2 linked regions of the Oreochromis niloticus genome follow. The protein of the gene in region 2 binds, or shares a complex with, the protein of the main gene of each other region. Links are inferred from orthologs where the notes say so. Each region holds a gene or a part of one and is shown on either strand. Other genes may lie near its edges. The genes, in order: pde6gb and gnat1.

Region 1 (15,546 bases), on a different chromosome or scaffold from region 2:
AAAAGAACACGTAACCCTCATCACAATGTCGCGGCTGAATAGAAACTGTCTGGCCTGATTGGCCACATGCTTTCTGGTCAATTAGTTCAGTGTGTTTACCTTTTCATGTTAAACTGGTGCACGGCACTAAAAGCCAGTAAAGATGAACCAATCTTACAGTGACTACTTCTACACCATATAATCTATTCTTACTGTTAGAAACAGCTGATTTGTTTTTTAAATAAAGGTAAGTATACCTGAAGTATCATAGCAAAAATACTCATCGCAGAAACAAGCTCCTCTGTGACTGATTATATTAATATATGTGACATTAATGTGTGTGCATGATTTCACCACTGTAGCTGTTGAAGACAGTAACTTTTACTAGTTTTATTTCAGTGCATGTCCATAATAATGTTCCACCACTAAGGATAAATATATATTAAAAATAATTATGTTAACATAAATAATTATGTTCTGCAGCATTCAGAAATTCACCAAGATAAGAACTCAGGGGGTTGGGAAGCGCACCTGTAACCGGAAGGTCGCCAGTTCGATCCCCAGCCTTTCTGTCCTGGCCTTTCTGTCCTGGTCGTTGTGTCCTTGGGCAAGACACTTTACCCTACCGCCTACTGGTGTTGGCCAGAGGGGCCGATGGCGCGATATGGCAGCCTCGTCTCTGTCAGTCTGCCCCAGGGCAGCTGTGGCTACAACCGTAGCTTGCCTCCACCAGTGTATGAATGTGAGCGTGAATGAATAATGGCATTGTAAAGCGCTTTGGGTGCCTTGAAAAGCGCTATATAAATCCAATCCATTATTATTATTATCCCAAAGGAAAACACTATATGTATTCACTATCCCTCCTCTGCTGATGTCCAGACCATCTCAGCCTCGCCGCTCTAACTTAGTCTCCAAACTGCTCAACCTGACCTGTCGATTGATGTATCCATGTCTAATCTTATCCATTCTGGTCACTCCCAATGAGCATCTTCAGCTCTGCTGCCCCCAGCTGTCGTTTGATCAGTGCCACATCCCCAAACCATACACCATAGCAAGCCTTACTATTATCTTGTAAACCTTCACTTTCACTTTTGATGCTATTGTTCTGTCATAACTCAATCACTCCATCCTGCCTGTACTGTCTTCTTCACCTTTCTTGCACACTGTTTGCTGCTTTGATGGTTGACACCAGGTATTTAAACTCATCCACTCACTCATCCACTTCCACCTGTCTCCTTCTCATTCACATATATGTATTCTGGCTTCTCTTTTCAAAGCATACCTCCACCTCTCCAGGCTCTCTTCCACCTGGTCCCTTCTCTCACTATAGATCACAGTGTCATCTACAAGCATCACAGTCCACGGAAATTCCTGCCTGATATCATTTCAATCAAGAAGATTCACCAAAACACAGTGAAGCTCCTGACCTTCTCTATACTTCTCCATCAACACTCTCAAAGCAAATTTGGCATTTCTAGTGCGGTAAGTGATCAGACACTACTACTATAAAATAAATACTGTAGTATTAATAGTAATCATCCCGTCTAGTGAAGACAACCAATATTATTTTTGTCTTTTAATGTGTGTCTATAATATTTGTCTGGCTTTACTGCCGTTTCTGCTGTTTGTTTGTATTGTAGAATACTGACACCTGCTGGCCAGATGAGGGAAATATTTTTATGTCCCGCCCAAAAACCTAATCAATGCTTTCAATTGGTTTAAATTTTACAAAGCCCCCATTTGATTGGGTGATATGCTGTATGCTGGCCAATCACCGCTTTTGTTTACAACCAGCCTCAAAAGGTCAGAGTTGAAAAATGGGAAGTAATGCAGCTTTAGCTGTTACAGCAGCTAACATGGTAGAAGTTTTAAACTCCGGGAAGGAACAGCTTAATTAAACATTCACTCTGGAGAAAATGAACCACACAGAAACATAACCGCGCGTCCTGCCGGATTCTGCAATGCTGTGTGCGGGTGTTAAAGCCGTGAGGTCGTCGGTGTCATTACGAAAGGTTGGTGGCTAAGCTAACGGTTCGTTTAACAGCGGATGATGTCCGTTATGTTTTTAACACTGGAGTAACTTTACACGGTCATTCGTTTGATAGTAATAATCATTCTTATCTCGAAAACGACAATAGCCTAAAGACACTCATTTAATTAACGGACACGTCCAACTGAGAGGAAACCCAGCAAACACCGGAGAGGTTGTCTCTCTGTGGGTTGGAAAAGCCCCGGTGTCCCTCCCAGAAGAGCTGAAGGACGTTACTTGAGAAAGGTAGCTCTGGGGAGCTCTCCTTAGACTGCCGACCCGAGATAACACAAACTGGAGAGAGGCTGGAGGGCTTTACAGACCAGGATCAAACCTTTAAACCCTGTAAAGAGCAGATAGAAAACGGAGATGCTTGAGAATTCAGTCTGTCATTATTATTATTAGTAGTAGTATTATTATTACCACCATTGTTATTGAGACCATACTAGGATCAACAAGTTACAGCGCCCCGGGCACAAATGTTTTCCTTTCTTCAGTAATTATACTCATATATGAAAGTGTACCTACTGTACATGTACACAGAACAGCTTGATTTTAACTTACTGAATCCACCACAATGCACAGTTTCACTAAAATCTTTACAGTGTCTGATAGGAAATGGAATATTAAGCAGTCAGGGTTTTTATTAACCATATTACTAATTTAAGTATCTTTACACACACACACCTGAAATATTAAGAGATTTTTAATATTTACATTATCATTATTATTACTATTATTGTTATGATTACTATTTAATAGACTAAAATTTAAAGACAGATTGATGTGTCCTCATCGTGTCTCACATGATTTTCACTGGTTCTCTCGCTGTCCTCAGCAGTTATGGACGAGTCATGTTCACAGCGGGATTGTTCACCACCTCCCTGCAGGACCAAATTCGCCTGCTGCTCCTCCTGTTCTGACGGACTCTTCTGAGCCCGCCAACACAGAACAAAAGCGTGACTCTATCTCCACTTGGACCCCTGCCCAGGGTCCCCCACCGCTTCCCACGCACTGCTGCATGAGTGGCTGTCACAACTGCGTATGGATTGAACACGCAGAGCAGCTGCTGGAGTACTACAACGATGGAAGCGAGCGAGCGCTCGTTGCTATTGAGGAGAACGTCCTCGATGAGAACCTTAAAACTTACCTGAAGATGGAGATCAGACTCTTAAAAAAGATGTGACCGTCGCAGCCAAAAACCCTTCACAGGCTGATATTTTACAGCACACAGTGTACCTCCACATTTTCACTCCTCCTTCATCCTGTGGGTCCCACAGTATATGTCTAATTTTAGAAAGATGGCAGACATTAACAGATAAGACTTTGGGTCTTTGATGGTCGTTGTTATGTTGCACTTATCTAATATTTGCTTCAACAAAGCAGGAAAAAAAGGAGTCGCCATCTGGCAGGTTGCTGGAAATCATAAATACTCAGGATAAAAATACTCTTTGATTTTTACTGGAATCTGTTCAGACCTGCTTTGGCCTTTATTTCATTTAGACAGTGCAGATCTGTCAGGATGTCAAGAAATCTCAACCATGAAAGAAAAAACACAAACACTTAAATTTGCAAAGGCTGGAGAAATTTATTAGGAATATCAAATTAATTAATTTGAAAATGAAAGCAACTCATTGTAAAAGAGTTGAGGCAAGAAGTATTTCTCCAAACTTTGAGTGTTTTTAAGTTATCTAAGGTTCCAGCTTCCTGTGTGGCTTCATAGTGTACAGAGAACAGATGGCAGTCGGACCCTTTTAGATCTTGACATGTTCGTTTTTTTCTTAAGGAAGGGTTATTCATGTTGTTCATACAGGGTCCTTGAAGTTCACAGTGTGAAATGTTATTTTTCTGTTAGAACCTTGTTTGTTGGTCCAGCTCAGTTGTGGTTCATGTTCAGTGTCTCCGCCTGACTGTGCTGCTTAATAACCCCAGGGCAGATGTTATCGATGGGGGCGTTCTGTTGCAAAACTATAGAATCATGAAGATGGACTACAAACAGGTCCTCTTAGATTTCTTTGCTAGTCATGCAGGCTGACCAAAGACAATCCAGTGAAAAATAGCACTTTATTACCAAATATTTGTAATAGGAAATGTTATTCACTCTGCTGTCCACTCATACATTTCTCTTGGTGCTTAAGAGATGCTTTTCACCTCAGTGCAAGATTTTCTTTGTGGGTCATATGACTTGTTGGAAGGTATTATTTCTTTTCATAAAGTGTATCTTCTGTTAAAGGAGGTGATGAAGTATTAAAGCACATTTCCTTAGTATTTGGAGAATTCAGTCAGGTCTGATTATTAAGGCCTCACTCAAATCAAAACCTGCCACAACTTTTGTTTCCAACAGTCTGAAGTTGTGCACAGACTGCAGTCCCAGCCAGTGGTCTGCTATAAAGCATAAGATTGCATCATTACACAGTCCAACGATTCTCTACATGAAAGACCATCGTTACTGTGAATAAACATAAAACAAACTAGTCCAGTGAAGAAATAAATAGCTTGAGCTTTCAGGGGTCTGAAACTGCAGCTTTTTAGAAGGTGTGATGAGTTTTTGTCCCTTTGCAAGTAATAGTTGTAATGTGCACAGCATCACGAGCTGACAAGAGGAGCAATGTTTGACACTTCAGGGATGTCTGAATTGTTGTCACGTGCTGTTTGGTGTTTGATTGGTTTGCATTGTGTCTTTACAGCATTTGCACATTTGAAGCATCAGAACAACACTTTGCCTCTCTGTATTTGAGTTTATTTAAATTATATTAGAAATTAGTTTTAATCCAATGCTTGTTAAATAAATATTTTTTATTTACTGTCAGATTCAGAGTGCTTTATTTTTGTGCAGAGAGTTGGTGCTCACAACCAAACATGCAAATAAGTTCAAGCCTGAAAAACTTTAATAGCCCCTGTAGCCACAAGGGGGAGCTACATATGCATAAAACTGTCTGCTGTACTGGGAAAATGAGATATATGACCACCTAACCTGTTTATTTCATCATCATGTAATTTTATCCAACCAGCTCCAAGTGTTTATACTCTAATGTGATTATAGTCAGAATATTTAACAAGCATAAAATCTTTGTGGCTTCAGGAAATCAAACTTTGTTCTTATTGATATTTACAGTAAGTATGTAAAACACTGCATTGTTCTCGTGTTGTTAATGAGATTTAGATCCCTGCAGGCTTCTTCTCTGATGTGTCAGAGAAGAAGCCGATCACGTTCGGTCTTGCCACCTTAATGACGTCTTTAGTTAGCCTTCTCCCAGTCCCTCTGGACCAGTATCTGAGGTGACAGTGACCCTGATCTCACTGAGTCAGCATTAGTCCAGTAATAGTGATGCACTATAAGTCCTGATTACTCAAGGTCCAGTGCTGCAGCTGCAGCCAGCCATACAGCGTGCAGAGTTACGCTTTGATCTGGGTTATGCAGCGGATTAAGAATGAGACGTTTCACTGATCATATGTAGAGCAATGACTCTGACGTGATGGAAAACATTCGAGACAGATTATTGGCTGATGCCGAGGCTGCAACATGACACTTTGCATCATTGCAGTGGGGAAGGTTCTACGAACAGTAAGCTGCAAGAAGTCACAAGTTAGCGCTAAACAGTTTTCTTTTTTCAGTTTCTTTCAAACTGCCATAAAATTGGACCTTTCTGTAGTTTAATAAAGGCAGAGTGCCTGTAGCTCTATACAAGAACTCGTCAAGAACGATGTGTTCACCAAACGTAGTCAGATTCACAGGTGTGGGTAGAAAACATTGCATTTAAACTAGTCAGTGATAAAACTGATAACTTGAAAGAATTAAATGTTAACTGCAGATGAGTTCAAATGTATAAAACTGTGTCGTCTGCAAAGACAAGAAAGAAATGTGCCAAAAATAGGGCCCCGCCGAACTCCGTCAACAATCACTTTTCTTAAAGGATCCTAAAATCAAGCTAATATTGAACCAAAGAGGAAAGATTATGTGATTCATTGTGATTCCCTTTTTCATTAATTTTTACATTTAGATTTGTTTTTTCAGGATGTAGAAAGCGTGGCCAGTACTCTCCCACATTAGTGTCTTTAAATCTAGAGTGTCTTTAAATCTAAGTTTCAGAGTTTAAGTAAAATCCTTCTCCTCACATGCAACGTCTGATCCCATCACATCTTAAAAATCTTATAGCCCTTTTATCCCAACAGAGCACTTCCCTCTCAGAGTGCAGGATTACTTGTGGTTCCTGAAGTTTCTAAAAGTAGAGGCAGAGGCAGAGCTTTAAGGTTTCAGGCCCCACTGCTGTGGAAGCAGCTCCCAGTTTGGGTTCAGTCAGACACCTTCTTTACTTTTAAGATTAGGGTTCAAACTTTTCTTTTCGATAAAACTTCTAGGGCTGGACCATTTGACCCTGAACTGTCCTTTAGCTTAGGCTGCTGCGGGATTTCCCATGATGCTCTTCTGAATCAGTATCTTCTCAATTTGCCTCTTTTATACATGTATATACCATGACTGCACATACTAACATTTGTCTTCTCTCTCTTGCAGTTTGTTATTTGTCCTGTTTACCTGCTCTCCTTTTTTTTTTCTTTTGTCTTTTTCTTATTGTTTATTAAATTTTCACTTAAACTTACATGCATTGTTTTGCAGGTTTCATTTAAAGGTGAAGGTCAGTATCAAATGAGTGAAGGATTTCTTTAGCACTGCTTTGTGATGGTCCTTCTAGTTTAATTATTAAAAAAAGTCCGAGCTGCTGTTTGGGATGTCTCCACATTCAGTATGTCTCTAGCATGTAGATACGAGCTGCTGATGTTGGCTTAGTCCCCTGTTTAATGAAGAGTACCCCCACTGCAGGGTGTTACACTGATACACACAGACAATGTAAAAGATTTCTGTGGGTTGGAGGATTGGAGGGTTTCGCCTTAAGCAGATGGAGAGATGATTGCATAACAAAGATGGAGTGGGACTGTGGGGCTTTCAGGAAGCTTCCAGCTCCATCTATAATCTGTTTGAACATATTGTAAGCTGTGTGATCTCATCCTGCATCCTACTGACTCAAATCACTAATTTAATTAGCAGTACCTAGAGGATTTCTAAAGACATTTCTGGAAAACTTCATTACAAATACTGTAAAATACATAAAGATCATTTTTATATGGCAAACTGCATTTATCACAGAGCATCTTTCCTCCACAATCTATCATTTCCAAAGTGATTCTGGAAGAAATACTCAGATCTTCCTGATGCTTAGAGTTCAGCATCAACCATTTACACATGAAACAAGGAGCTCATTAAACAAAACTGTGAGGCTCTGTTAGACAAACACTGCTCTAGAAATAACTGCAACTAATAAGTAATACATAGATGAATACAAGCATCTATGTACTGTCATGTACTGTACTGTAATTTTTAAAAATCTTTATATTAATTTACAAGATAAGTAAATTAAGTAATTCACTCTGATACAAATGCCTTCATCATTTTAAGCCATTTAGTGAGGTGCAAGCAAAAATGCTGTTATTACCTGAGTTCTGCATCAGGACTGCAACAATTTTCCTAATTTGATCAATTTGTTAATTATTTTGTCCAATTAACTGCTATTATTCTCCAGCTATATAAGGGACACTTCTCTTATTTAACCTAATCTAAAATCCCAAACAGCATTCATCGTTGCATGCTGTTGGAATGCTCTGATGGAAAAGGGAAAGCAGCTGGTTGTCACTCATTACTTGATCAGGTTTAAGCAACGAAAGCATTCAGTTTAGGAGGTGCAGGAGGAGACTGTGGCCTGGGTTTAAATCATGGATGTAGCCACAGTAACGTGACCCACCGGCAGCCTTAATAGCATCACGGGGTTTTGGGAACCAGGCGTTACTATAGAGGGACATGCTAAGTTGTCAGCTACATTTGCCAGTTGTCTTATAATATACAGGTGCAGTGCACAGACACATTTACCTGCTAATTGGTCCTAAGTAACAGGCTAATAAAATAGTAGAAAATCACTGACCAAAACTGAAGGACGAACTTCAAAACATATTATTTATTAGATAATTACCACAGAAACGCTCAGAAAGTGAAAGGTCTTAGCTGACTGCTACCATTGAATGTGTTAATCACCGTGGCCTCATGTATGAATTTAAGGCTTAACAAAATCAATCAGGTGAGTTACAAAAAGGGAGAAACTATTCATAGAGGCCAAAACTTTGTAGCAGGCTGTAAACATGTTTACTTCTGCTTTAAATTTGCACATGGACACTAGAGGTACCACATTTCTGTAATATCTTCACTTTTCTACCATGATCCTTAAAGGAAAGCATTGAAACGGTAGCAGCGAGGTTTTTTACAACAGGCAGTCTTGGTCATGTCTTTTTGAAAGCATCAGTATTTATGTCCTGAATGGCACAAGGCTGGTTTGGACATATTGTGAGAAAGAACTTGGTGAGTGTAGATCAGTGGGCATCAATAATTTTAGTTTGTTTAAGTATGTTGTGTACAAGAATATCAGCTTTAGAAACCGCAGCTGCCAGATAAATATAATGCATTGAAAAAGTGCAAAAAATCAATAAAATCAGTTTTTAAAAAAAACAGATAATTTTTCCCAGAATGTTATCTTTTCTAAAATTTCTGTAGTGTAGCTTCTGTAAATATTAACATTCAATGTATGGTTACAAAATATGAGAAAACATCTGTAAGACAATAATAATACGAACAATTGTATAATTTCACAGTGAAATTTCTCACTGAAATGTTTGAAGTTGACTGTAAATGTGCACAGTTATTCTCCACCGCTGTTCACAACGTGCACAATCCACTTTTACACCTATGTACACATTACAGTTTAACCTAAACCTCAAACATGTGAACTGTTGACAGTCGAGAAGGGAGGCGGTGCCTCCGTAATCTCCCGCGGGTGTCGGCTATAAGAGGGACCACAAGCCCCGACTGGCCCTCACAGCAAGCCTAGCATAGAAGTCCACTCATCTGCTAGACGGATCAGCGCTGCGCTCACACCCACTCGTCTGGCTGTTCTTCACCCAAGCAGCCGGTGAGTAGACCATCATCACCGATCAGTGCTGATATTCAGACACCGTCTGGATTTAATAGAGCGGTGGGAAACTTTGTTGCTCTTCTGCAGCTGTGTGTGTGTGTCAGTGAAGAACGTGGGTGTTAATATTTGTTTCTTTATTAGGAGAAAATAATCCAGATAAAAGAGTTTAGAGCTCCAGAAATGATCACGCTTGGGTATAAAAAAGTAAACAGCAATTTGTGGTGTCGTTTATAATGTGATTAAACGTGACAGAGTAAATTAGTGCAGATGTTTCTGTAATCTATAGACCGATGCTGTTTAACACTCAGTTATCAGTTATTTAAAAACTGCCTACAGTGCAAACTTACTCCAAACATGGATAAAACAAGATGTTGTTTCATGTACAAGTTTTAGTTTTATTTATTCACCTGACAGATACATTTATCAACAACCTGGACAGAAAAAATATTTAAAAATGATCTCACAACAAGGTTCACTTCGGTTTGGCCTGTTTAAAGCTGTCAAAAAAGTTTCATTTTAAAATTCTTGATATTAAAACTGTGGCTCAAACAAAAGCAGATCTCTGAATATGTGATATGTGATTATATTCAACCCACACATATTCTTTTCTTTGCCATGTTTTTGTTCTCAATCATAATTTTCTGTCTTTAAGTGTTTTACTTTTATATTAGTTGTTTGCCTTTGCTTGTTTTTATTTATTTAAATGAATATCAAGGAAAGACGTCTTGCCCATGTGTATTCAACATGTTAGATAAATCGATAGTTAAGGTAATATTTTTTATTTGAATATCAGAGAACGATAATGTAACAGATTTTTTATTTTTGTTTCATTAAGTGTATAAGTAGATTGGTTCAGTAAAAAATGACTTGATCACCAAACGAACATTTTTGCTGATGAAACTGAGAGCGCTAAAATCTGACATTATCAAACAGCAGTGTTAAGGTTTTGTACTTTCCCCCCTTTTTTAAATCAGTTGATTTTAATTTACTTTCTATATTTTAATTTTGTTTTTTCTAATTGTCTAAAAATATTTGCTTTTGTTTAGGTTTAGTTTTTCTTAGTTTATTTCCCAATTTTCTTTAAATCCACAGGGCGTTTCTCCAGGCAAAATTCAGAATTGAAACACAAACATTTCCATTAAAGCCTCCTCAGACAGGCTGTGATGGCAACTTTGACCAAACTGGCAAAAACTAAAAATCAGGACGTTTGTTGCTTTGTTTGTTTTTGTGTTAGTTAGCATTGTGCGTTAGCTGTAATAACCTTGGTATTTATCCAGTATAACCACATTAATGGTTAAGACCTGTTCAGGGTTGTCTGTGTCATTACATGGTGAGCGGATTTAATCGTTTAGACCTTCAGTGCATAGCTCAGCGTTTCTGCAGCGGTGTCCTTGCTTTAACAAGATTACGAGTTCACCATCAGCTCGAACCAGAGAAGGAGAGCACACGTATTAACTTGAGCCAGGGATTATGGGTAATTGGGTCATCCCAGCAGGACAAGCTGCAATGTGGTCCACCACATTCAGGTGCTGGGAAATATGAGAGTGTAAATCCTGGCAGGTGCTCATCAGATCTGTAATAGGATTATAGATGGTAATGTCAAATAGAGGTGACAGGAGCTGCGTGCTACCTGTGACATGGTTAGAGTTTTAGATCATTCGCTGCTTGACACTAAAAGGATTTACAGATAATAACCTAGTGAGAGTTTCTCTTTATTTCTCTGTTTTTAATTGCTTTTTTCCCTTGTTGTTCCCAAAAATAAAGACTTCACCACCACGACTACACTTCAGAGAGGTGTCTAACGCTAACAGCCTGCACACACGTTCTCATACATAACAGCTCAAAATGAATCTTGAGCCACCCAAAGCTGAGATCAAGTCAGCCACCCGCGTCAGCGGAGGCCCCGCCACCCCACGCAAGGGACCCCCCAAGTTCAAGCAGAGGCAGACTCGTCAGTTCAAGAGCAAGCCTCCAAAGAAGGGAGTCCAGGGGTATGCTCTGAATACTTTTCTTCTTCAGGGTCTTGTAAAAAACTAAATAAATCAAATCAAGTGATTTGTAATCATCACAATTCTCTTCTTTGCAGATTTGGAGATGATATCCCTGGAATGGAGGGCTTAGGCACAGGTAAGTGTATGCTAGGGTTGACACCATTGGCTTTAGTGCTCTGCAGGGTCCTGAACAACTTCACATCTGTGCTGTCTTTTTGCAGACATCACTGTCATTTGCCCGTGGGAGGCCTTCAATCACCTGGAGCTGCATGAGCTGGCCCAGTATGGTATCATCTGAGCCTTCCCACATCTCCCTGCAATCCCCTGAGGATTACAGACCACCTTCATGCACTTCAAACCATCTGCCTCAGGATCCATCTCCTATCTTTATGTGGAACTACTGAACCATTATGAACTGTAACAAACACAAAAAAATGGAAAAAGAGAAAAAAAAAAGCCACACAAAAAAAACTCTTTCTCTTTTCTAACTCTGGATTCTTTCTGTGATTCTGCAGCTCACACACATCTGCTCATGTTTAGCGTCTGTTCTTTTTAAAATCTCACCACTTCTCGCAGTAGACCTGCACCGTCGCCCGGCCGCTCTCCTCTCTTTCACTTTCTCTGTCTCTCTCCTTCCTTTTTCTTCTTTCCTGTTGTCCTCGCGGACAAAAAACAAAACGAAACTTACGCAAGCAAGGCAGCCTCAATTTGAGTTTAAGTGACAGACCCGTGAAGTGGGTGGGTTCCCATTTCATGTGCTTCGGCGCCTCTCTCGCCATCTCAGAGGCTTTTTCCATCGACGCCGAATCTATAAAACTCTAAACCTGAATTCTGTAGAGAGCGGACACCAGCTTGCTATTGCTAAGCATAACATTTCAATGGGATATGCGTTAATCAGATATCCCTCTTTTCCCTCTGTTTTGACCTTTAACTGCACCCATCTTCACCAGAATGCACAAATCTTCACCCTCATGGTATCTGGAAGTCTTCTGTTAGTTATGGCATGTGAAGAACAACCTCTCACCTCATTTTCACAACACAAACTAAGAAATAAGCCGCTTTAATCTCACCTTAGCAGATTTTAAATGTTGAGGAAACCAATTTCTTCTCTTCAACTACCAGGAGTGTGAGTGTCTCCATCATTTTCCACACTTTTGTACTCTGTTAACATTATCGCTATTTGTATATCTCCCATATAAATCAGTGTATATGAATCTATGTATTGTATATTTAATACGTGTTTATTTCTAATACTTTCACACACCACTACTGTGCCCTGTGTGTGTGTTTGTGTATTTGTGTTTTTGAGCTCATTATTTTTAGCTCTCATTTGTTGGTCTCATGTAGAGTAGGTTGTACATTTTTCCTCACTGTCCATCATTCGGTATGATGTTTATTTTATTTCAGCTCTACAGTCCTCTTTATCCCTGTCATCTTTTTGGCCCTTACCCCAAACTTGTGTCTTTCAAAACATTAATCTAATCGAGACAATGCTGACAAGCTTTGACGATGTAAAGCTGGTGGATGCACTGTAGTAGTGAAAAAGATGGCAGAGGGATGAGTGGGATGGATGTTTCAGTACAGATCTGAAGACATGTGTAGTGGAGCGTTGTCCTCTCTACAGGACGAGGGATAAAAATAAAGCATAAAAAGAGGAAAATAAAAAACGGTGTATTCGTTTTTTTCTAATCACATTCTTCTGTGGAGGATTTAGCTTGGATTTAGACCTATTATGCATCTATTTACAGCAGGTACACGCAGGGGGGAAACTTACACTAAAGCACATTTAAGTATTACTGTATTACCTCATGATTAGTGTAACATTTTTCACATCCATTTATATTTAAGGTAGTGCAGATGCAAATAATAATTCTGCACATGCAGGACTGAGTTGTTGACTTGAAAATATTTGAATCGACTGCCATAAATTTACTGGTGACAGGACTAAATGCACATTAAATCACAAAAAGCCATCCTGAGAATATGAAATCCACATGAATATGAATTCCAGAGGAGCAGAAAGACAAAAAGAGACCTTTTATTATTATTATTATAAAGCACAGCATACAGATAAAATGGTGTGAAGCGACACTATTTACACAGAGTGGACACGGGTGAAAACATGAGGATCATGCTGGCAGTTACGAACGAAGAAGTGGAGAGAGGGGAAGACAAAACTAACAGATCTGAGGTTAATAACAGGAAACTCTGGGAAAACATTAACATTATGCTAACATAAAAGGAAGAATATCAATAAAAACAGTGACCCAGTTAACAAGAAACCAGGACCCCAACATCCACTTTATATTTTACTTTATTGGTCACCCTAGTATCGTTATTATGTAGTGAATACACTTCATGATAACAATTTAAGTTTTAGAGTTTATTAGTGTGTTTATTGGAAGAAAATGACGGCTAATGTAATTTCAATTGATACTTTTGTAATGTAGGCTGTTTTTGGTTCACTTGGATATAGTAAAACATTAAAAGTACTTGGGGGTATTCAAGTACACTTCAAGTGTCTTGTAGTATACTCAGTAATCCTTCTTGTGCTTTAATACAGCATTGGATAACTAAATCTTTGAGGACACTGTGACTAAAAATAAGAATAATAAGTTTGTACAGTGGTCCCTCGTTTATCACGGGAGTTACGTTCTAAAAATAATCCGTGATAGGTGAAAACCGTAAAGTAGTCAGCTTTATTTTTTACAATTATTATAGATGTTTTAAGGCTGTAAAACCCCTCACTACACACTTTATACACTTTTCTCAGACAGTAATGAACATGTTCACACTTTTCTCTCTTGTTTAAACACTCTCAAAGTTCAAACCTTCCTAGAAGAATAAGTCTGGTATTACGGAATGAAATAGAATAGAGCAGCTGCGAGAGAATTCAACATTAATGAATCAATGGTACGGTAGTAGAGGAAGCAGAAGAATGAATTGAGAAGAAGTTTGACTGATCTGACGGTTTTGTTTCGCTTAATGTGCCTTTAAATCCAGAAAATACGGTAACTTCTACCTTCCTTTAGCATGTCCAGAAGTCCAAGTTTTTGTGCGATGGTTAGCATCTTCCGCAGGTGCCTTTGACGGTGCAAAACGACATTGTTGTGTTTGTTGGGGAGAAAACTTACAAACACACAGTACAGCACTTCAGAGTCACACTGCTAGTGATCGAAGATTTATGTAAATTTGACAAGCTGAATGCTTTCTGTACTGTACAGGAGACACGGCACGAGATTGATTGACAATGGTCTACAGCCAATCAGTGCGCAGAACACAATGCGCTGTTTTAAAAAAAAGAGCATGCAAAATTGCACAAAAGAAATCCGCGAAAGGTGAACCGCGTTATAGCGAGGGACCACTGTACAGCGATGCGCTTGGTTGCCTACTTCTGTCTCTGCCAGGTATTGGTTGGGTGGTGCTGCTTCAATTTAGGATGCTCGGACATTGCATACACGCTGATGTCCTGACAACCATTCACACTAAACGTTTCTTTACTTTATTTAATTGGACAATTTAACAGCATCCTGAGACTGTGTGGCCTAAACTCACTGTAGAACCCAATTAAGAAGCTAATGTAGTGAGCTCTCTTCTTGAGGCCTTACTATGTGGGTATTTCAGAAGGAAAGATAATGTAATGCTTTGTCCTGGACACAGCTCATTTGGCGACAGTGGAGAGGAAGAACTTAGTTTGAACAGGAAGAGACCTCTGATACAGCCTGGCCTCAGGGAAGAGGAGTCATCTGAGTGAGTGGCATGGGGGTGATAAGAAAGAGAAAAAAAGTTTATACCGCAGGTAATCTGATGAAATTACATTAATTTTACTAATCAGTGCCCGGCTGAGCAGCACTGATTACCGTCGAGCAGAAACTTGGATAGTGATAACATTTCTTTCTCCATTATGATTTAACTGTTCTTACATAGTTTGACATAAAATTAGCTTTAGCTTATGCAAATAATACACATAAAACATGAGTCTGTTGAAAGAATGGTGGTTTATTTTATTTACAGTTTTGATGTGATTTATGTTTCTTTTGTTGACCTGAATGAGGTCACTATCTCGATTTGTCAGTGAAATTTACAGTAGTGCAATATTTGCTTAAGAACCTGGGATTACATGAAAACGGTACAAAGACAAGTTATCAAATGTTAAGAAATTTTATTTGTGGACCTGAAGTCTACATCAGCCTCAGTCCATCAAGTCCTCAAAGGAAATTAGAAACACAGTTGTCTTATACAAAATATTTATCAGGCAAATTCACCTTTAAAGCCATCATGAGTGGTTACATTGCATAGTAAAAAATAAATCTGGGAGTAATAATAAAAATCATAATACTGGTAAACAACAAACTGTGTATAAGGCTGAAGGAAGGAGTATTATACATTTTGATCAACACTGAAAGTACACTTTTTCTCAATATAACACTTTATTTTTAGCAATCAAGCTACACTTTCCTGCTGTTAACAAGAGAGAAGTCGAGACGCTTTTCTTTCCCTGGTCCTTAGAATACGATGACCTGGATGACTCTGA
Region 2 (15,874 bases):
CAAACTTTCCTGCTTTCACATACCATGACCACATGCAGTGATTTACTGTCCTCTTACGTGGCTAAAGGATTTATTTTCTAAGCCAGTGTACTCAAAGTGCTGTTCCAAGCCTGGATGAATGGGGAGGGTTGTGTGGGGAGCAGCATTTTAGACAAAGTTAGAGAGGCAAGGGTGAGATGGTCTGGACATGTGGAGAGGAGAAATAGTGGATATGTAGGATAAGGGATGTTGAATATGGAGCCGCCAAGCAAAAGAGAAGGATCACAGAGAAGATTCATGTATGTAGTGAAGGAGCATCTGAAGAGGGTTAGTGGGACAAAGGATTAATTATACTGGGCATAGGGTGAGATCGAGGCAGATGATCTGTTGTGATGACTCATAAGTGGAGAAGCTAAAAGAATAAGATAAGGCATCTAAGAGTACAATGTGTAATTTGCCTGATTAAATCACAAATTAAATCTGCCTTCTCAGATATAGAGCAATGTCTTTAATGGAAATGATAACATGATATGACAGCAGTAGACAGTCAATGTATGTCTTTATCATTTGTCTTAAAAAGGTTATTTTAGCTCCATTCGCCCTCTCTTTTGATTGGCTGCTCCTTGTAAGCAGAAAGCTTGAAATACTATCATTGTACTTACAAGAACTGGAGTATAGACTAGAGTATAAACTCCTCTGTGAGCCACATCTTTTTGTGATACAAAGAAAATTAAAATGCTCCAGATGGCCCCAAGAACAAAAATGTCACTGACGTCCAGTTCACTGACTTGAATTAGCTGAGATGTGGACTTGCAGGCAGCTGGGACCCACATGCTGCCCAAAACGACCATGCCCAGTTTCAAAGCATCATCTTTGTTATGCTGTTTAAACGGGTAAGTACTGAATGGACATATTAACTGTGGGGACCAAAACCACTGAGGTTTCCATGAGGCACGAGCCAGGTGTTAGTAGAGTAGAATTCAGGCTCACTGATGTCCTACCTGTCTTCATACTGTGTAAATAAAATCCTCTCCTATGCGTTGCAGCTGTTTGATGAAGACAACCCACTTCACAAATCCGATAACAAGTACATCTTCACAACCGAGGGTCATGTTGTGCCTATAGACAAACGCTTCAGGGAGAAACAATGGAATGACGACTTTCCATGTGAGGAGGGAGCACTGGCAGAAAGCGAGCCAGTCAACCAGCCTGCTCCAAGAAACATCAGCAATGTAAGGCCATCTTCCTGTTGAATCTAGGTCACTGTTCTCACATTACAAATATTTCAATAGTAATTGTTTTCTTTTTTAAACTCTCTGCAGTGTAACAGGATCCCAGAGGAGCGACGGTACACTCTCCCATTAAAGAGCGTCTACATGAGGCAAATAGATCACATGGTTGGACTTTTTTGAGTGATGGGATGGATGTGATGACATTGGCAGGAGCAGGCCTTCATTGCACAGATGAACTGACCACTTGTTGGTTAAAATCCTCTTCCTGTCTGTTCTGCTGCTTGGGAAACTCACACTAAAGTAATCCTGAGAAAGCAATTTGATTAAATTAAGTTTGAGCTTTTTTTCCTGTTTTGGTGGATGAAAATGTTGCCAGACTTTTTCTGTGGGAAGATGAGGATTCATCCTTCGTTGCATTTTGGCAGGCAAATCATTGTGAAAGTGGTGAATAACTGTTGTGTTCTTATGGAACAAAAAAAATGTCTGTTCAGGTATGAATGTGTGTGATTATGTTTGTGTATGCACATTTGAATTCTCAGCTGAGCTGGGAATCATAATGCTGTGTTAATGGGAACAGTGCCATCTAGCCACACATGAAAATGCATAGCCTATAAAAACACTCAACAAAAAGTCTCTCTAAACATGATGATTTGGTGCCTCCGTGCAGGTGATTCACACTAGATCAGTGCTTCTACATAAGGGCTGTATATTAACAGATGATAATAACAGGTACGAACTGTCAAATCCACAGGCTGCGTTAGATCGTGCTCATAGGAATGTCGTTCTTTTTGTACACCTGAGGCTGGTTTGCAAAAGAGCCGAAACTATTGCCACTATGAATATTTTTTTTCTTAAACCGCACTAGCCATATTGCAAGGATTTTAAACTGTCTTCTGTCTTAGTTGTGTTTTGCACATCACATCAAACCTCAGTATCCAGGGAGTTACAGACAACATAAAGGTAAACTGCCTCCTGCTTGTTAGCTGTTAATTAATTTCTGATTAGTATTGAGCTAAACATTGATCTCTCAGGCGTCTAGCTACTCAATGTCTTACAAAGAACAGAGCTGTGCCACAACTGTATGAGCGGGAGATTAATGACGACTCTTTAAAGTGCCTTCAATTTGTCTTCGTTTCTCTGGATGCTGTGAAGTGCATATGATAATTTTGTGAATAACATGGCTGAAAAAAAGGCCACTGTTATGTTTTGCAAAAAGAGTCATTCCATGTGTATGTACAGTTTTACACTGATTATAACATGAAGCTCTTTTTTTAGATGTAAAAAAAGCCATAAAATGCATTGTTTTTTTTTCCCAATGATAGTTAATTTTCAAGAAGTGCAAATTGATTTTTCATCAGTTTTCTGTCAGACACGGTCAGTATACAGACTTTCCTGCAATTTAATTTGTGTTATCAGGATGATTACCACGTGGTGAGAACTCAGGGTTTAAAATAAACACATAATCAATGAATGCTTTCATAAGAAATAAAACTTTTTGAAACGTTGCCTACAATATCTCGAGATGGTGCTAGTTTTCTTGCAAATGTTACAAATTGCTTGTCCGAGGTCACAGAGTGGCTACACTGAAGTACAGTTATACTGTGAAAACTGATTTTCTTCCACAAATATAAACAGAGGATGTTGGGGGGTTTTTTTTAAATTAGCTGTGATGTTTTATTCGTGTACAGATTTTTTCTTCCACTTTTGCCAAACATCCTGACTGTATATTGACTGTAGTGAGTGCATTACACAATTACATCACATTATAAATGTTTTATTTGTAGGAGATGGCTATTCATGTTCTTTGATAATGTGCTGCACTATATCAGTGATATTTAAGTTCTCTAAAGGAAATTACCCCAATCACTTCAAAGTAATAGTTGTAGGAAATATACACATTTATTTTCTTCCAAGGAGTTAAATGAACATTCATAAATCTGCTAAAAGAGGCCACTGTACTGTTTCTTTGAGCAATTATCCTAAGTTTGCAGAGGGAAAATGTTTCCTTTGCTCTGTCCAAGGAGAAAAAATTACATTCTCAAGTACACTGAAGCTTCCTGCTCAGCACATAATTTGTTTAATCAAAATGAAAACAGTCTGTTTAGTCCGTTTGTGGCTCTGACACATTAAAGGGGATCTATTAGTCTCATTTCCAGCTCCTTATTTTTATTAATTAACTCTAATAGAGTTATTTTGCATTTTTCACAGTTTAAAACAATATTTATCAAATGGCTTTGGTTCAGGCCCTCAGCTCCTCCTCTTTCTGAAACAAGCTCTTTTAGCTCCCTTCTCCCGTTCTTTAAGCTAACTTTCTCCTGATTGGTTGCCCCTTTGGGCAGAAGAGATGATCACTGTCATCAAACAGGATCAAGATGATGACACTTTTTTTCTTTTTGCCTCTGTAAACGCTTGAGAATCGAGGAAAAAGGAATCTTCCCATTGAACTTCTTTTGTGATTTCCTTCCTCTTTGGAGCTAAAAAGGGCCACCCAAACACATGAGATATCAATGGAAACCCCCAGATGTCCTCTTTTGAGGTCAGGACTTAGTAGGGTCAAAAGATGTAGACCAAAAACAAATGTCCACAGAGGACATAAATGAACAGGCTGGTTCTCAGGAGGATAAACCATCACAGTGGGTTTTAAGTCATACAATCTTAATGTGATTGAAGTGCAGAACCTTCAGCTTTAATTTAATGGGTTTTGCAACGTATAGTATTAACTACTTTGCAACGAAAACAGTTTTTATTGCTACAAGGATGATTTTAAGTAACTTTTTTTTTCAGGCTCAAACCCATGGAGTTCTTCAGCTTGTTTGCTGGACTTTCTACCTTCAGTTTGGCCTTCGGTAACTGAAAAACATGCTGCATTTGGTTGAGATCTTGTGACTGATTTCATTTGTTTGCATTGGGAAATTCTTGTCTTGCTTCTGCGGTATGTTTTGGGTCAGTACCTATTTTCACTGTGAAGCACTGTCTGATCTCGATTCCACTGGCAGACATGCATGTACCATAGTATTGCCTCCACTGTGTTTGACTCATCATGTGGTGGGCTTCAAATTATGACCTTTTGTCTGTGCAGGCTCTGTAAGAGGTTTTCTGGCAACGTCTAATCTTGTCTTTCTGTTTTTGAGTTCTCGAGCAGAGGTGATGGCTGAAATTTTTGGACTTTTAATTGTTTTCTAATACATTTTAGATCTTTTTTCTGCTGATGAAGATAGTGAGACATTTATTTTGTATTTTCCGCCTAATAATGACCTTCTTGACTTACATTGTGATCCCTTTGGACCTAATTTTGAGATTTCCACTGAAAATATATGAAATGCAATTTCAACCCCTGGACTCAAGTTCAGGTCTCTCTGCTTAATTTGACAAAGCAACAAGCTTCATTTGGACATGGAGTTGTCAGTCAATTATTCTATTTTGAGATTCTGAAAATCTACGTATAAAAAAATGTAACTGCTGAATAGTTACTGTATTTTTTTTTTTTTTTTTTTTAAATAAAACCCCTTTAAAATATTTGTTTAAAAATCCAAGTCTTGTGTTATACATTCGTCTTGAGTCTCTACAGGGAGGCAAAGAATCTTCAACGCAGAGCTGTTCTTTGAACGTTTATGAAAAACTAAAGGCGGTCACTTGTAAAAATGCCACGTTTCAATGATTTAAGGGAAATATTCAGTGAAAATAATAAATGTGAGATTCTAAACACAACACTGCAGAGTTGCTTTTAATTTGTGAAAGACTGAGAAGTACTGAGTTTTCTACAGAAGCTTTAATAACTTTGATCAAGGAATACAATTAGTGGTTTCTGTACAGAATTGTTGGCTCAAAGGCCCAGAGTTTTAATTAACTTAAACAAATCTTTGACAAATCTATCCCTCGACTTTGTTACATATCATCAACATGGTGTCGCCATACTTAATTAACTGTCCAATAGAAATCTGCTTAAGTATATACACTGGCCATTTTCAACTATTGTAAAGAGTTAGATTTCCTAACACTTTCATGAAAAGTTCAATTTGTGACATGCTCGAGTTATGTTACAAACTGCTGTATTGTGTTTGTACATAAAAGCCGTTTCTAGTGAAAGGTTCTGTTAAAATATCTAACAGAGGCTGAAGTGCATATGCAGGTGGTTAGGTCATCTTCTTTGCCCTTTTGGCCATACACTGATCACTTACCGTAACACAGAGACAATGCATTAGCTGGAAATGTTTTCACATTACATGAGAAAAAAATCACTGTTTGCTGACAGAAGCTCCTGATGTTTTAACTACACACTGCATGCCCCCCCCAAAGACCAGTTCAAGAGACTTGAGAGAAAAGTTAGATGAACTAAAATTCAACTCATCTGAAATCTGCACAGAAGTTTCTGAATTTGGAGCTATCTGAAAAGAAGTCCTTGGTCAAAGCTAGAACTTAATTTTGAACACAAGAAATAGATTTTTATTTTTTGCATTCGCTGATTTGAGGATGGCTGCTTGCAGGGGCAGTTTTCATCTTCAGGCCTCAGTTTGAATTGAGAAAAGGATCTGTGAAATGTGATAGGGCTGCACCAGCACCCTGTAAAAAAATAAAAATAAACAGGAGTGAACCATAGTGACCGATGACAACAGTTCATCTTAATTATCTTTAAAATAATTTTTCTACTTTGCTCACCTTCATCTGGTTTTCTGCGTGTTTTTTTAGAAGAGACCGCAATCCTTCAGGTTTTCTTTGATGATGATGTCGGTTACGGCATCGAACACAAACTTGACGTTCTCTGTGTCGGTAGCGCACGTCATGTGAGAGTAGATTTCTTTGACGTCTCTGCGGAGGTTCAGGTCCAAGAACTGCATTTTGATATAGTTACCAGCATCCTCATAGGTATTGGGGCCTGGGCGAGAAAGTGTAATTATAAAGTTTTGCTTTCATTTAGCTTGCCACTATCTTAAATATGTATTTGAAATGATTATCTCACCATCATATTCAGGGAAACACATGCTGAGATGTGCTTTCTTGATCTTCTCAACGAACACGTCTTTCTTGTTGAGGAAGAGTACGATGGAGGTGGTGGCGAAGTAGCGGTGGTTGCAGATACTGTTAAATAAGTGCAGACTCTCGTGCATGCGATTCTGGGAGAAAAAAAAATCCCAGTGAAGAGACTTTCCAAAAATATGGACCCTAATAAAAGAATATCAAGTATATAGTTTAACTTGTCATACCACTTCATCATCCTCCACCAGGACCATGTCATAGGCGCTCAGAGCGGCAATGAAGATGATACAGGTCACGCCTTCGAAACAATGGATCCACTTCTTCCTCTCTGACCTCTGACCACCCACATCAAACATTCTGCACGGGAAGAGGAGCATGTTGCCTTGTTTGCCACCGTGCACACAGGAAGCCCAGCGGCTGATTTGTTTGTCTTATTCTCTTGATAAACATTGCTCCGGCTCACCTGAAATTGAGATCTTTGAAAGAAAACTGAGTTTCGATGATACCAGTGGTCTTCACTCTTGATCGCAGCACATCCTGCTCAGTGGGCACGTAGCCTGGTTGGATCAGTCGCTCCAAGTCATTCAGATAGCTGCCGGGGGGAGAAAAAGGGAATCAATCAATGACACATCCTGATACAAGAGATTAGAATAATGTAGCAATGTTAAACCTGAGTAAATGTGATTTCTTACTATCCAGCAGAGTCGTTGAGTTGGTACTCTGAAGCTCTGTCAAAGCATGCCTGTATGCCAGAATCTTTCCACAGACGCAGAATGATATCTGACATTTCTTTAGGCATGGTGCCTTCCTCAATGGTGTCTGCAAGATGCATGAGTTTCCTGGCATCATCCTGCACGGAGGCATGCGTGCGTTTAGTGAGCTATCAGGAACATGAAATCTGTTTAGCTTCGTATGTATGTGGAAATGAGTGTCAGCAGTGGTTACCTGCTGATCAGAGTGCCCGTAGTTGATATTGAGCGTGTTCATGGCCTTCACAATGGCCATGATGGACTGCAGGGTGTTGCTGTAGATGATGGTAATAAACTCCAAGCATTCTTCAAGCGAGTAACCATCTTTGTGGATAATTCTGGTGAGAAAAATGTAGCATTAAAAAAATGCAATCTACAGTCAACTCTAAAAGAAGGTCAGCACTGCTCAGATGCAAAGTCAGCTTACTTCATCTGTTTGACAATAGTGCTTTTGCCTGATTCTCCAGCACCTGTATGGAAGAAGAACAAGAATTAAATTGTTTAAATGACATGTTTATAAAAATGCTTTAATCATGTTTAAGGATCTAGGGAAAGATAAGTGTTTAATTTTGACCTTATTTTTGTGCTAATTTTGTGTTTTTGTGTTAATTACAGAAGACCTTATGGTTTTTATCAGATAAAGGACTTCTTACTTCAGGTCTAATCTTTTCTTATCCCTGACCTACATTACTAGAGGACACAAAAAAAGCTATAAATCACACAATATCCACGACTATTTGTCAGATAAATATACCTGACTGTAATACTGAGTGATTTTCCTTAAAAATTCAGTATTTCTTTATACAGCAAAACACAGTGTGGCGTATGAAATTACTGGTTAAGCTACTGATCTATCTAAAACTGTAAATCTTCACAGACATGACTTTTTACAAGCACATTTCTCATTGATTTATCGACACATTGCATAAAGTGTATTTTAATATATATTTGAGGGCTACAGCCACAGGCTGTGTTTGGGTTTTGTGGTATCTGTGTCCTTCACGGTTAAGCCCTTTGTGCTGAAGGACCTGTTGTTTCAGGATTAACAGAGGATCGGCTTGAGTGATTATCAAGGTGTCTTAGCAATTTAGGGACACAGGTGATTAAGCCTTTACATGACACAGACATGTAACTTCTTATCAACGCACTTAAGTTGTTTTAAAATTAGGCAATTTGGTAAGTTTTTAAGGGTTTTTGGGTAAATAAGATCTATCCATAGCAGTACTTCTACTTTATTTGTATGATTATTTGACATCAAGTATATGAAAAAAATTGCGTCAAGAAAAAAGGGAGTTTTGTATGTTTTTTCTTTGCAAACTCAAGTTTGCGAACAGAACATGCTACAGCCAGAACTTCTGTGCAATACAATGTCTCTCCTACACTTTAATTAGAATTAAAAGTGCTCTAATTATCATCAGCATGGGCCCTTAGATATGTATAACCAGATATTGTTGTTTTCTACTAATGCGTCTTAGCCATTTGGCTCTACCAGCTCTCCTGTCTTTACCTAGCAGCAGCAGCTTGACAGTTCTTGCATCCTTGTCGGCATCCTCCTTCAGTTTCTTCTCCAGCTCCCTGGAGCGTTTTTCCTCAGCGCTGGCTCCAGCTCCCATCCTACTTTACCCGGCTTGGGCCCCCTTTGCTCAAAGGCCAAGTGCCAAGAAAAATGGAGGCAGGTCCTAGCTGCTCGTCAACAATGTGACCGGAGCCTTCAACTGTGCAGCTGATGAGTCAACTGCGTGCTGCAAACACTGGAGAATGTTTGAGCATTTTCCTGACTTAGGAAAGGATTTTGGGCATCCTCTACCCACCTGATCAGTGGTGACCAATAGAGCACAAGGACAGGAGTGCTTTTAGGGCAGAGCGAAAGGTGCAGGGGAAGACTCGGGCATACATCAGTGTAGGATCTAACCTATCTAACCTTTATGGGGATTTTGCTGTGCTCAGCGGAAGATGAACAGCGGCTCAAGTGCTTATCTCTCTGTGTTGTTTTTAGGTGCCTTCAAACAGGACCATGTGAGGCTAAATATTTGTGATGCTAGGTGTTTTATATAAGTGCAGTTTTGGTTAACCAAACGAAATCCATTCCACATTAGCAGTAAGTTAAATTATTAAATCTGGGAAGATAATGAGTGTATGTTTGCATGTTGTGTGCTTAGTGCTTTTAAGGGACTAAAGATAGATAAAGGTTTTGTAATTTGTTTTTAAACAGACAAACAAAGACACAATTGTATTTAATCAATTAGCCAATTAAATACACAACCAGACGCTCAGCTCCAGGTCCAAATATGAAATACTGACATTTCTTATTACATACTACAGACTGAAGGGTGAGTTCTGAAGTGCTTAAAGGGCTTTAGGGTTTCACCCGACAGATCTCATTGACCTCAATCTGAAGCTGGTTAAGGATCCTAATCTACTCACGTTCAGTTGTCTATGCATGCTTGTATGTACAGCATGTGCACTGATGTGTTACGGATGAAATACATTTTCCTTAAAAATTCAATAAAGCAATCTTACTGTGCTCTTATGAGGAGCTCAAAACAATAAACTCACTGTGAATGAATACACTGTAGCAAATCAGCACAATGAGATAATTTACTCAAGAGCTCTACTTTAGTATACCGGTAAGTGAAATTTATTAATCACTTCTTTACATTTTTAGCCACTTTACACTTCGGGTTTGCAGCATTTTAGAGTAATCCTTGTACTTTTTACTCCGTTGGGTTTATTTGCCACCCACAGATACTAGTTACCAAAATTTATATTAATTGACTAAAGAGTGCACAAGATTAATAAAAAGAATAAGATACCTGATCAACTACCACGCTTAAATAAAGTACTATTTATTAATATGATTAATATTATTGATATACATTGACCACTACTTTATTAGGTACACCTGTTAACTATTGTGTTAATGGAAATATCTATCACTCAGTCCCAGAGCACTAACCCAGTGCATTTAGCCATGTTAACATGGTCAATTTGGCCTTATTAACTTTTTTTGGGGGGGTCTTTTCCCTCTTTTAGGAAAATAGCTACCGGCACTGTGGTTAAGCTATCCATACAGCTTTTGTTTTGTTTGGGCAGTAAGAGACTGACATTGTATTCATGCATATGGACTCAGATTGCAAATGGAAAAAAAGACACATGATCTTGATTAGTTGCAAGATACAAGGTACAACACAAACTTGCTTCAAGCTTGGGTCTTTTATCTCTCTCGTTTAGATTATGGAAACATTTTAGGTAAAGTGACACAAAATTAATGTATTCATGTTCCAATGACTGCCAATGCTGTCCCTGATATAATATCATAGTCTAAGCTCTCAAACACTCACAGTATAGGCCTATTACAAGGCTATCTTCAGAAGTGTTTTCAGCATGTTGCTGTTGGTCTACTTATCTGCTAATTTTACAACTTCACTGAGTATTTGTACTGCGTGGTTAGCTCTTCATACTACCATTTCCACTAGATCTTTACAGCAGAACCAGGCATTATCTGCTATTAAAGTAAAAACTTTCACTCATTTGAAAAGTAACAGAGTAGGTGGGAAAGCCAGTGCAGACGTTTTTTGGTGCTACTATGATTGAAGTGTAAGGAGCATGGGGCTTTTTGAGATTGTTTTAGAACAGTGCCAACCACATCTGTATTTACTTACGTATGGTTGTAAGGCTGTTAGGAAGAAAGAAGTGCCTGCATGGTAGGAAGCATATCGTACTATGTGCCAACATTGGCAAACAGAAGAGAACATGTGTTATTATAAAATATAGAGCTTTAATTTATTAGTCAGCAACAATGATAAGGAAGAAAAGGTAATAATTTTTTACAAGTCATTACAATAACACCAACTGTGCATACATAACTTTACCTCAAAGTCTGCAAATCATTTGCTTTTCTGATTTTTTTGAGAGCAAAAGAGAATAGGAAGAGAGAGAGAGAGAGAGAGAGAGAGAGAGAGAGAGAGAGAGAGAGAGAGAGAGAATAAAAATCACAATCTTGCCTTCCAGACTTTCCCACCATAAAAAGGTGTGACCACATCCATAACATTTCCATATTCCCACAACAAGAAAGACATTCACTGACATCCACAGCAATGTAGAATTTTAGACAAATACCACATACATACACTGTACATGTCATGCACAATGAAAAGCCACCTTCTAAAGATTTTGGGAAAGGTTTCTCTTCAGGTTTGGTGGCAATCAGCTTTGCTAGTGTTTGTATTTGTGACACCTTGTAGAATTTAATCTTTTTCGTGCTTTTATATGACGTCTGTGGCGGAACCATACTGGCAAACATCGTTGTTGGTAAGTAGTTGATACATTAAGCACATCCCTAATCGGAAACATTACTCTCCAAAGCTCTGAACATCAGCCCAGTTTTTGTAGACCGATTACATTTTTACATATTCACCTAGTGAGAACTGATATTGAGCATAGAAATGTCAGGAATGGATTAAGAGAGCTAAAAAGAAATTGTTAAGCCTACAAACTGAATGCTTTGCCTTATATGAATACACTATGTAAAATGCCACAGATATTGGGGAAGTATTTAATATTTTTGAAATGACCAGTTCAACAACAGAAGGTGCTTTGTTCATTTTATAATCACAAACTGTTACAAACTCACACATAGCTGCCTGCTGGAATATCTTTTCCCAAAGAGAGAAAAGAGAAGGCAATGTTATGTTATCAGCTTTTGTGTCATTAAAAGACTCTTTCCCCCCCAAAAGAAAACAGCTTATCACAAAGATCACGTTAAGGATACGACACTGAGATGTGATATTCACATATAAACAAAACAAACACTTGGCAGCAACGATTTTGGAAGAAGATGAGTAACAGCTCTACTTGAGGCCCAAATGGACCACATCGTGAAAGGAAAGACGTTCTACCTGCCACAGAGGGCTCTTCATTCACATATAACTGTACGACCGTGATGTCACAGCTGCAGTCTCTGGGCATTTCCATTATCCGTGCATGTCCTGTGAAATGCCATTTTCATTGTTTTTTCTGTCAACAGCTTGTACTTTGCAGTAAAAAAACAAAACAAACTGTCCAATATACAGTACATAGATCTGGTGAAGAAGTTCAGAGATTTACGAGACGTTCGCGGACATCCCGACTCCTCTTTCAGCTTAGACACTGAATACTGCCAGCAGTCAAAGGATCCAACATGGTCTCCACTTAGCAGTTTCTGAATACATGTCCATCAGTTCTTGTCCATGTATGGATACTCCCAATGTCTGGGTTTAGTGTCGCTGTTTCTTAAAAACACCAAACATAAAGATATTCTCAACAAAATAACACATCTTAATAAACAATAACACTAATAATAATAATATAATAACCACAATATTTGCACAGATTGATCTATTCACAAAAAACAGGGTTGCTAGATAGGTACAAATAATTACTTTTTACAACCTACAATAAATATTGTGTATTTCCCCCTCCCCCCCATCCCCAGCAGTTACATAGAAACTGTTTGATGCTGTTGCGTTGTGTTTCTGCAGTTTCTGTCTTGTCTTTGATGAGAATTTGAGTTTTCTATCTGACTGGAGTCATTCCCCTAAATGGAGGGTTGCAATGTTTAGGAGGTTGTGTGTAAAGGTAGACAGGGGGTTGTTTGAATACGATGTACATCAAGCTTCTCATGTCTCAGCTGGAGTTGTCTGCTCTTCATGATGCCGGCGGTTACGAGGTTTCTTTTGTTCTTTCAGCTCTTTCAGGCTTTTGCCTTTGTTGTTCCCGAAGCTGCTGTCTCCCAGTTGCCAGTAATCCTGGCAGTACTGGTTGATCAGCCCCATCTCTGGCTGGCTGAGGATAGTTAGCAGGTCCTTATACTGACTGGCACTTGGAGTCCAGGCACTGGACTGAAGCGGAGGAAGAGCCGGGCTGCCTGTCTCCACCAAAATGTTGTTGACTGTGCGACTAGAAAGGACCACCAGTTGCAGTTTCACAAGAGTGTGCTTGAAGTTTTTCTCTGTGGACGTACACTGGTAGATGCCGCCGTCAGAGGACTGTAGAGAGCGGATCAGAAGTCCTTGATCTGTTTTCAGCATGCGACCCTCTGAGCGAATCTGGGACAAACAGAAGGCCAGTAAAGATTTTAAGTTAAAAAAAAAATAAACAAAGATTATAGAAGGTTTAATATAAGAGCTATACTCACCTCTTTCCTGCGGTCACTGTTTTCCTTCTGCACATGCCACTTGAGAGACATATGAGGAGACCTGGCCTGGCACTCCAAGAATGTAGTGCTTCCCTCCACCCCGTACTGAACTGTCTCCAGAGGGTTCTTATTGGCTACAAAACAACACATGATGTACAGTTGCAATTTTATTTGTGAGATAGCTCTGGAGTGAAAAAATGCTGGTGTATTCTATAGTCTTAGTACAACGCGACACTCACTGCTATAACCTCTGCACTGGCGGATAGGATTTCCATACTTCACATCTTGCCGACGACTCCGCCTAGAGGGGTCAAATCAAAAGCCACAGATATAAAATTTAACTGAAACACACTTGAAAAATAAGACATCTGCATAAATACTCCAACTGCAGAGATGGGAAGTAATGAAGTGCAAATACTTTGTTGCTGCACTTCGTCTGCTGCATTTATATATTCCCTGTCTACACAATCCTGACCCTCACCTCTTCTGTGAGGCAGAATATCTGGAGCAGGATTTGCCATCCCAGGCACAGTACGGGTCCCTGGCGAGACAGCAGTCAGCGCAGACCTCCCCGTACACATCGCATCGATGGAGAGCCAAGTGGGTCACACCCAGGACTGATCCGACATACAACTGTTGCTGTTAAAAGAAAAATAAATACAAATTAGAAATTAAAACAGCAACATACTTTAGAGCAAAGGCCATTTATTTTACAATTCTGGACATCTCTAATGCTTCAAGGAAGAATTATAGATTTATATTTAAAGAATGAATAATTGATTGAAGCTACTTGCGTTGAGTTTCTTCATCATCCTCAAACTGACATAAGAAGGCTCCGGGTTAGGCTATACTCTAAGCTACCCTCGAGTCCTGTGTCTGTTTTCAGTATAAGCTGCACCAAATTACACAAAATGTATAGTTGGATATCAGGTCTTGGTTGTGTACTACAATGTTTTGTATTTAATCATGCATTTTTTTCTTAGATTGAATTTGATGACTGTGTTCCTGTCTGATTGCTGTTAGCTGAACTATTTGGTCTGAATCAAATTACACTAACTTACCCTTTTTGATGAAATCTTCATAGTAGTGATTGGAGTGGGAACCTGAAGTGACATAATTAAAAGAATGTGAACGCTGGATTTGTTATTTTGTATCACAGATTACAAACATGGCATATATAAATGTAGAGTAGGGCAAAAAGATTAGTAGCAAAGTGACTAAGGCTGCAAGACTGACCTTGAACACCTCCACTTCCTCTAACACCAGCTCCTCGGTCTGCAAGTCATCTCTTGGCAGGACAATCACTTTCTGGACTGTGCCTCGATCTGAAAGAGTGGGAAGAAGTAACTTTGGCTGAGCTCTGTTGATTTATTTGGCTATTAATACCTTGACCTTGGTTTCTTCATTGTTATTCTAAAATATGTGCAACAGAGAACTGGTTTTTGGAAACCCACACTATGACTCATTAATGTTTAAGAGACAGATTGTTTCAACATGTGCGTGCAAACCTCCCAGATAAAGCCAAGGCCACAGAACTTAACAGTGCACAATGATATGAGTGTAAGATTACTGTGCAATCATCAGACAATGCCCAGTTTTGTTCTTAAAACACTTACCTGTGCCCAAGAATAGCACCTCGTAGCTCCCATCAGCAGCTGTCACTTGATCGACGGCAATTGTGGTGAACTCGTAGTCCACGTTGGTTCTGACCACCAGGGGGCGCTTGTGCACTGGGTATACAGCGTTGTACATAGTGGGGTGGTTTCTCATGAAGTTGATAACCTCATCTGGGTAATCCTTTGTGGATTTCAGGTTGGGGGTAAAAGTGCCTCCAGGACACTAGTAAGAAAACAAAAAATTTCTGTTGAGCAATTTACTTGTTTATCTTATTCATGGTTCTAGTAACATATATATTATATGTTTTAACTCACAGTGCCAGGTCGAGGGTAGGGTATTTTCCCAGTGTATGGCACCCATTGATAGTTAGGGCCTTCCTTATGGGCAAATGGCCCATTAAAGACCATCCGGATGTCAGCCATAGAGTACACACACACTGCCGAGCCTTTAAACACAGATCTGGAGGAGGGCAGGAGGAAAAGAAGAAAAAAAGGTGAACACATAAAGACAGCAGCTCGAGAATTCAGATTTTCTCACTCCCTGGGATAATTAGTGCGATAGCTCTCCGTGGCTGCTAGAATCTACTTCCTTCCCACGTACTCACATACTTACAGGAACACACTGAAACATTATGACGCACAAACACACACTCAAACTGACTCAAGTAGAGTCAAGCTGTCTGACACACTGACATACAAACACCCACATACTGCAGAGAATCGCCAGAGTACAGGCTCTCGCCGCTGTGTGGTGGGTGTACTATGTTTGTAACTTCTGTCATGGGCCCCTGTCATTAGCACCACATGTGTTTTTATCAGCTGGGTTTAAACATGCCTGATGCCTAAAGAGAAGATGGAAACAATAACAGTATTTGTTTCTCAAATACATTAATCAGGACATGTTTATTATGACTCTGCGCGCACCTCCTCCTGCTTTGTGTGCCGTCAGAATCTCAGTTTACACGTCTGGTTGGTTGACTTGAATTTTAATGCTGTGTGCTGAATGACAACCTGCTATCAAACCTGACCTCTGAGGAACTTATAGGCTCAGTCAGCCTCCCAGAGGAATGCTACTCCCTCTGGGCTCCACATTCACTTTCTGTCTCGTCTTTGCATCCTGAATGTGACGGCCCACACAAATGCAACGCC

What was found.
Region 1: the proteins of gnat1 (region 2) and pde6gb are in contact, whole or in part, in a cryo-EM structure (PDB 7JSN), measured with the Bos taurus proteins. The link is inferred for Oreochromis niloticus from reciprocal best matches to the Homo sapiens genes GNAT1 and PDE6G. Residues at the interface, in NP_851365.1 of Bos taurus: Ser140, Arg201, Arg204, Lys205, Trp207, Ile208, Phe211, Asp227, Val229, Glu235, Val236, Asn237, His240, Glu241, His244, Leu245, Ser248, Ile249, Ile281, Phe283, Glu305, Leu306, Met308; in NP_776846.1 of Bos taurus: Arg36, Gln37, Phe38, Lys39, Ser40, Lys41, Pro42, Pro43, Lys45, Leu60, Val66, Ile67, Cys68, Pro69, Trp70, Glu71, Phe73, Asn74, His75, Leu76, Glu77, Leu78.

What each region holds. Positions count from the first base shown.
Region 1 is NC_031973.2:3,637,896-3,653,441, reverse strand, and holds pde6gb (phosphodiesterase 6G, cGMP-specific, rod, gamma, paralog b), read left to right. Parts: upstream 1-8,905; 5' UTR 8,906-9,018; intron 9,019-10,785; 5' UTR 10,786-10,866; coding exon 10,867-11,012; intron 11,013-11,107; coding exon 11,108-11,148; intron 11,149-11,233; coding exon 11,234-11,310; 3' UTR 11,311-12,679; downstream 12,680-15,546. Other genes in the region: oxld1 (oxidoreductase-like domain-containing protein 1), read left to right, coding at 1,941-1,991, 2,847-3,194.
Region 2 is NC_031970.2:17,205,832-17,221,705, reverse strand, and holds gnat1 (guanine nucleotide-binding protein G(t) subunit alpha-1), read right to left. Parts: upstream 8,709-15,874; 5' UTR 8,548-8,708; coding exon 8,442-8,547; intron 7,405-8,441; coding exon 7,362-7,404; intron 7,273-7,361; coding exon 7,131-7,272; intron 7,036-7,130; coding exon 6,878-7,035; intron 6,778-6,877; coding exon 6,649-6,777; intron 6,543-6,648; coding exon 6,413-6,542; intron 6,323-6,412; coding exon 6,169-6,322; intron 6,085-6,168; coding exon 5,894-6,084; 3' UTR 5,868-5,893; intron 5,772-5,867; 3' UTR 4,923-5,771; downstream 1-4,922. Other genes in the region: edem1 (ER degradation-enhancing alpha-mannosidase-like protein 1), read left to right, coding at 1,026-1,211, 1,302-1,391; sema3fa (sema domain, immunoglobulin domain (Ig), short basic domain, secreted, (semaphorin) 3Fa), read right to left, coding at 12,592-13,020, 13,110-13,243, 13,349-13,410, 13,591-13,748, 14,171-14,212, 14,346-14,434, 14,726-14,948, 15,041-15,185. UniProt on the Homo sapiens protein: Functions as a signal transducer for the rod photoreceptor RHO. Required for normal RHO-mediated light perception by the retina.